Linked DNA regions of Tribolium castaneum. The protein of the gene in region 2 binds, or shares a complex with, the protein of the main gene of each other region. Links are inferred from orthologs where the notes say so. Each region holds a gene or a part of one and is shown on either strand. Other genes may lie near its edges. The genes, in order: Polr2L and Tif-IA.

What was found.
Region 1: Tif-IA (region 2) and Polr2L share a complex: the UniProt entries of both Homo sapiens proteins name them as parts of the pol I pre-initiation complex. The link is inferred for Tribolium castaneum from reciprocal best matches to the Homo sapiens genes RRN3 and POLR2L.

What each region holds. Positions count from the first base shown.
Region 1 is NC_087394.1:15,049,683-15,052,143, forward strand, and holds Polr2L (RNA polymerase II subunit 10), read right to left. Parts: upstream 828-2,461; coding exon 624-827; downstream 1-623. Other genes in the region: Sumo (small ubiquitin-related modifier 3), read left to right, coding at 1,488-1,505, 1,592-1,711. UniProt on the Homo sapiens protein: DNA-dependent RNA polymerase catalyzes the transcription of DNA into RNA using the four ribonucleoside triphosphates as substrates.
Region 2 is NC_087395.1:22,076,224-22,080,801, forward strand, and holds Tif-IA (RNA polymerase I-specific transcription initiation factor RRN3), read left to right. Parts: upstream 1-1,467; 5' UTR 1,468-1,626; intron 1,627-1,674; 5' UTR 1,675-1,680; coding exon 1,681-2,134; intron 2,135-2,186; coding exon 2,187-2,292; intron 2,293-2,404; coding exon 2,405-3,016; intron 3,017-3,064; coding exon 3,065-3,243; intron 3,244-3,287; coding exon 3,288-3,546; intron 3,547-3,595; coding exon 3,596-3,770; 3' UTR 3,771-3,838; downstream 3,839-4,578. Other genes in the region: tyrosine decarboxylase, read left to right, coding at 1-151; ATP-binding cassette sub-family F member 3, read right to left, coding at 3,957-4,109, 4,201-4,421, 4,470-4,578. UniProt on the Homo sapiens protein: Required for efficient transcription initiation by RNA polymerase I (Pol I). Required for the formation of the competent pre-initiation complex (PIC).

The DNA.
Region 1 (2,461 bases), on a different chromosome or scaffold from region 2:
TACAACACCCTGTGTATAATAAAAAAAAGATAGTTTGTGGACTTTAAGTCTATCTATAGAATAATGAAAACGAAAACATGGCAAAATTTCAAGTAACAAAAAAGTTACAGACCGCACCCCTGAGTCACCCTGTATCTTTTAAAAAAATCACCAACAATTATTGTCTTATGGTGTTACAAACACTTAAATTAGCAAATTATACAATAAATAATTTAATATTAATCATATTAATATTATTAATCACTGGAAACAAAACAACAATTAAAATGGTTGCTAAAGAAAACAAATACAAGAATGATAAAAAAATCAAGTTGCTTGGGAAAAGATCTGACTTCATTTCTAAACTTTACTGGACATCCCTTATCACCATATCGACACTTTCTTGACCCTCTAGACATGGTTGAATTAACAAAGATAATGCAATTTTTTTGAATAACTTTATAAAAATAAACAAAAAAGTTACCGTGAACTCGTGAAGTAGGAAAAACTAAATAGGATGTTGCAAAAATGCTGGTTTATGAAAGACAAGGCATAATAGTAAAATTTATTCAAAAACGCGCCTTTTTACATGCCATAAAATTAAACTTACACCTACACTTACTTAACAGACTTACTACTACAGATTACTTCTCTAAAGGAGCATAATTCAATAACTTTTCAATAAGATCGACGTGTCCAAGAAGCATTCTTCTGCAACAGTACCTCTTCAAACCCAAAGCATCCAAAGCATCTCCTTCCGTATATTCAGCTTGCAAAAGCCCAAGATAAGCCTCCCATTTATTTCCAATAACTTTCCCACAAGTAAAACAACGAACCGGTATAATCATCTTGTCTCGACAAAACCTGAAAAAATATAACCTAATTTTTCACTGACACATCAAAAATTAACCAAATTCTGTACCTCACACTCTCGCTTAATCAAAATTTGTTGCGTTGGTATTTAGACTTTAAATTAGATTACTTTCAAAAAGCTTTAACTGCGCTTTTCTAGAAGCTTTTTGATTTCTAATTTCGTGAATTTCTGGGTTCTTCACTTCTGGAATATTGGTGCTCCTGATCAATTGAAGCTTGTGGCCTGCCATCTGTCGACGGCAATAACAAATAAGGATTAATTTCTTGATTAAATTATTAAAAAATCGCAGAAAACATGTGAAAGTTATATTGAAAACAAAGCCTAATTTTTTGTATTAATTTACCGCGTTGTTTCAAGCACGTTTTGTCAACGTGAAGTGGTAAATTTCTACAAATGTTTCAAGCGGAAGTGTGAAGTTTGAACAGCTAAAGCCGACTTTGACTAACCGCGTAGTCACTTCCGGCGAGCAGTTACCGCTACTTTGCAAGCAAGCCGGCCATTATTTGTTAGCGGCAAGCTGCGTGTCTGTTGATAAAACGGTTAAAAGTGCACCAAATTCCACTAAAACCGTTTACATTTGTGCATCAACTTCGGCCCCAGACCCTCCTACAAGCCACAACCAAATTTGCCAAATATGGGTGACGAAAAGAAGGTAAACATGACTTTTCTTTCCTAACCATAAACGAGGTTTTTTTCCCGTAATTTTGAACTGATACTCACGTTTTTGGGACTTTGCAGAGCAATGAAACGGAACATATCAACTTGAAAGTACTGGGACAAGATAATGCTGTCGTCCAGTTCAAGATCAAAAAGCACACCCCTCTCAGGAAGCTGATGGGGGCTTATTGTGAAAGAGCGGTAAGTGTTACACTTTATCTCAGATTCTTTAGTTTATTACTGGGACAAATGAGTAAGAACATGGATTGTGATTCATACTTGTGTTTACTAAAATGTATCAAAAGCCGCATCCTTTCTCCAAGTCTTTAATGTGCCATGATTTGCATTTTTTTCATGTTTGGACGTCTGAAACCGCCACATTTGTTGCAACTCAACTTCTTAAATGTCTAAACCAGGATTTGTTAATGTTTGTTCACTCCTGTGCGTAGTGATTGGTTGTATTCGGAAATAAAATTAACTAGACGCCCTCTGGTGACGACTTTTGAACTATGTCGAAAACAGTAACGAAATTTTCGTAATTCAATATTTAATTTAATTTTTTAATTTAACAATTTTGCGTGTGTAGTGTTAATTACTTACAGTAGAGAGAATCACTTTAAGGTAGTTGGGGCCTTACAATCGGAGCAAAAAGTTAGGCCAAAAGAATATATGGTGCCACAGTGTATAGTATCCACAGTAACCAACCCAAAAATTTTTACTGTGAATGTACTGCCCTGGCCAGTCATAACTCATTTGTGGAATGTGACAACACTGTCGGAGTTTCGATTGAAAATGTCAAATGTGTCAAATAATTACATCACAAAGGAAGAATTATTAGGCTAAAACCATCGATAAACGATGAAAAGCTACAGCGGTTTTACTGTAAACGCGTCCTATTTTCGAAATTTAACCGAAAAAAACCGTAATTACATCTTCTAGGTGGCCCCTGTG
Region 2 (4,578 bases):
TCTTGTGGCGGATTCGGATGAGGAGGACACGCTGGTTGAGGACACGACGATGCTGCCAGATGAGCCCGATGAGGTTTTTATTGACAAACAAGAGTTTGTTAATGGGTTTAGGATAAATGACAAAGAGATTAAGTACAATGGGGTTAGTTAAGAGTGTGATTGGGTGTGTAGATGTGTAGACACAACAGTATTATTTTAAGTAATAATCTTAAGTTATTTGTTCATTCACATATCATTAGACGTAAGGACGGTTGTGTACCAAGTGATCATTTGAATTCATTACAATTAGAGTACCTACTGAAACTGATATTGAAAGAATGGTTAAGACTTGAGTCTACCAACTATTCGGAGGAAACTCTCCTACTCTAATTACAAATGACGACATATAATACTCGCTCATTAGTATTAAGTAGCGTCCTTGTTGTTGTTAAAGAGTTTTTTTACTCATTTATAAAATGTAGACGTAATAAATTATGATATTAATTTGAAACTACCATTCAATTATTTTTCCTTTATAAATTCGTTCTTCAGAGTCTTTTTGACAATATTGGTTACACACAGCGCGTGCTGTTAACATTTAAACAGCACTTTTTTAAACAGGAAAGTACTAACCATCAAGGTTTTTTACATTGTTCCATAACTGCTGGAAAAGAGAAATCAGAGGTGATTATTTCTGTTGTTTTTTTCCCTTTCCCAAAGATCATCTGAGGCAAGTGCCCTCGATCCGGCTCTGCCCCTATATCATGTAAAGAATCTTATTCAAAAAAAAATTAATACCTGCTTAAGTATGCTGAGTTAAAAATAATCGAATTCTTTTAGTTTTCGAGAGTAAGTTTGTTCTTACAAAGTGGATTTGTTTTAATTGTGAATCCTGTGAAGATTTCACTAAAATGTTTGGCTGAAATTATTTGCTTAAGAGATGAACTTCTGTGGTTGTCGGGTTGGACCTTAAAAATGTGCCTCCTTGTGTTTTTCAGATCAAAAAAAACGTTAAATGACAAAAATCAATACATTAGACAAACCTCCTTGTTCCCATCTTGTAACAATAAGTTACCTCACAGATTATATTTTTTGTTGGTGTCGTACTTGTTGCCGTGTCGTTTAATTTTACTCACTTTATGACTTACTGTTTTGTGAAAGAATTTTTGCGGATTAAAAGTTCCAAATTCGTTGACTAGTGCGTGCTGATCGCGGTTAGTGTGTGCTATTGAAAGGGATTTTTAAGGGGAAAAGAGAAAACAACCCGGATTAAAGGGTTAGTTTTCAATAATTTATTTTTAGAAAAGTTTCTACATTAAAATCTATAATATTTTCAACGAATTTACTGGTACAATGTTCCAATTTCACTGTTTTTTATTTCAGTAGGTTCGTGAAATGCTTTTGAATAGGTGATATTAACATCTTGTACTGATTTTACTTTTAATTTATTTTAATAAATTAGCCCGGCTCAAAATTTAAATAGTAGCCTTGCCAACCAAGCAACTTCGAAAAGCCACAACAAATAACCCTAGACGCAGACGTCAAACCACACGTTTTTCTCCTAACCTGTAAAAGATGTGATTTAAATAACATTGTGAAATACTGTTTTTATTGATTGACTGTGACTGAACCGTTGCTTTAATTTATGTAAGTGCCATATTTATCATTTTTTCAGAAAAAACAAACAAATTTCAGATCATTATGTCTTTATTCTCGGCCCCCACGAAGTCAACGACCCCTTCCTCGATCCTGAAGAAAACCCCAAGTCTCAAATCGACATTAAACCGCTCCTTGAAAGTGAACACACCCACTAAAGTCCGATTTATTTTACCACACTCTAAAAAAGTGCGCCACATATTGAAGGACTACATCAAACACGGAAATGCAAAGGATTATGAAAATTTAGTGTGCCTAATTCGCGATGCCGAACTGTTTGATGACGATATTTCCTCACTGTTGAAGGAAGCGACTGAGTGTATTTCAATAATGAAGCAGGAGTTACGTCTTTTTGTAGAAGCACTCCTTTCAGTTGACTGGATCGAAAGAAACGAAAATGTAGTTAAGGAGTATCAGTCATTTATTGCGAACTTAGTCGCTGCACATAACTATCACGCAGATTTTGTGATAAATAAATTAGTCACATTGTTTTTTCCCCGTAAGTTTGGTAAAGTAACTAATCACCAGTTAATTACCAGTGAATTATTTAGCTCTAACAGACCCTGAATGGGAAAATGGAACCCCCAGTAAAACGGATATTCTGAAGTGCCAACACGTCCACTCCCTCCTCTGTGAACTTCTAAGAACAGTCCCTTTGTAAGTAATTTTTCAAGTCTCAGGTACTTTCCGGATGTAATTATCTAGAGTAATAAGCAATTTTCTCTATAAAATAGTTTATAAATTAAATCTGTGCTAATGGGCATTTCAGGTGCAACGAATTGCTAATCCACGCCCTGATCGACCACTTCCCTTACATGAACAAATCGACCCACATCCACGAATACTACATCCAGAACCTCCTCTGGGTCATCTGCTACCAGCCCACTCTCAGACCCAACATCCTCCACTTAATTTTCTCAAAACTGATCATCATGGACGTGAGTGCGCCCCGCGAGGAAATCGCGAAACTTGAAGAGGAGGAAATTTTCATGATGGACGAGAGCAAAACAAACACTACGATAAATCTGGACTGCGTCCATTCAATGGCACACACTTTGGACGTTTGCCTGGATAAAGTGTTCAATTACATTTACTCCGAGTGCCATGAGCCGGGCACTAATGACTTGAATTGGGGCAAAACCAAGTCTTTATACCAGGATATTTTGACGGTCTTTGATCAGTCGATCCTGCCAACTTACAATACTCATCACGTCCAGTTTGTTATGTTTGTGCTGTGTTCCTTTAAAACGACGTTAACGGAGGCGTTTTTTAATTACTTGTGGAAGAAGGTGTGCAATCCGAACGTCGCGTCGGTGATTAGACAAGCGGCGGTTAATTATATTGTCAGTTTTATAGCGAGAGCCACTTTCGTCCCCCTTACGTAAGATTTTTTCAATTTTTTATGCCCCAGTTTAATGGAAAATTGCAGCATGTTGAAGGGGACTTTGCAACAAATGGCCGAATGGATCCACTCGTATATCGCCACTCAGGACGGCCTAGAGTGCGTCAATTCGGACCTAAGGCTCCACTCTGTCTTCTACACAGTGTGTCAAGCCCTCTTTTATGTGATTTCGTTCCGGCACAAGGATTTAGTCAACACAAAAAAAAGTAATGATTTTTTTACTCGAACATTGTCACAACTTTGATTACAGATGTCGTATTTTTGGAGAGTCTGAACTTGGCGAAAATCGTAACCAGTCGGTTAAACCCGTTGCGGGTTTGCCAACCTGCAGTCGTGCAAAATTTCGCTGCTATTACCCGAAAGTACCAACTAGCCTATTGTTACTCAATCATTGAACACAATTCGAGGAACACTTTACCGACTGTTTATAGAGACGAGAAAGGTTTTGTGACAGTTTCAAGTAACGTCCTAGAGGCGTGTTACCCGTTTGATCCTTTTGTTTTATCAAGGTTCGTTGCACCGTTTTTTGGGGGATTCCCCTGACTGTTTTAATTGCAGGTCGAGTGCGAAAGTGCACCCGTTTTATCGGGACTACAAGGAGGTGAGTTTTGAGGTAAACGATTCAGAAATGAGGGAAATTGGGGACGTTGACGATTTCCTCGAGAATGACTTTAACTCAAAAACGCAGAAATTCTCATACGGGACTTCGCCAGGGTTTAAATTTAAGGGCTAATGTGATACTGATTTATGCAAGATGTTATTTATTAATTTGATAGGAAAATAAAGTTTCTCAAAATATGACCTATATTTTAATACCGTTATAAACATGAATATATTATAAATATAACAAAAAATCATAAATAGTTTTTCCACAAAGGAGGCACATTTATACAAATTTCTCTATTAAAAAGTAAACTCGTTATTTAGACTGACTTTCGAGTTCCTGTTCGACAAGTCGTCTGTACTCATCAAAACCTTCTATACTTCGCACAGAGCCATTACCACAAACCCACAACTCCTTGCACACTTTGCGAATAAGCCGCTCGTCGTGCGACACAAGTATCACACCGCCCTAGAAAAAATTAAGCACAAGGGAGGTAAAAAAATAAAAAAGTGTATGGTGGTAATGTGATCACCCAAAAGTGGTAAAAGCGTTAACTTACGGTGAATTTGACTATCGCATTCCCTAAAGCTTCAATTGTTTCGATATCTAAATGATTGGTGGGTTCGTCAAGTACGAGGAAATTTGGGTTACCCATGCACATTCGGGCAAAAGCGACTCGAGATTTTTGCCCCCCTGATAAACTGGCGACGGTTTGGAGGGCGAGGTCGCCCGAGACGCCAAAACTCCCAAGCTGGCGTCTATATTCCTCGATTGGTTTTCCTAAATTGTGGGATTATTAAATTGTTGAGTTAGAAATTGGGGAAGTACCGGGATATGTGCTTTGGAGGAGCTCGACCGAGTTGACGTTCATGTCGAGTTGGTCCACGTGGTGCTGGCTGAAGTAGCCGAATTTTAGGTTTCGATGGACGTGGAGCAT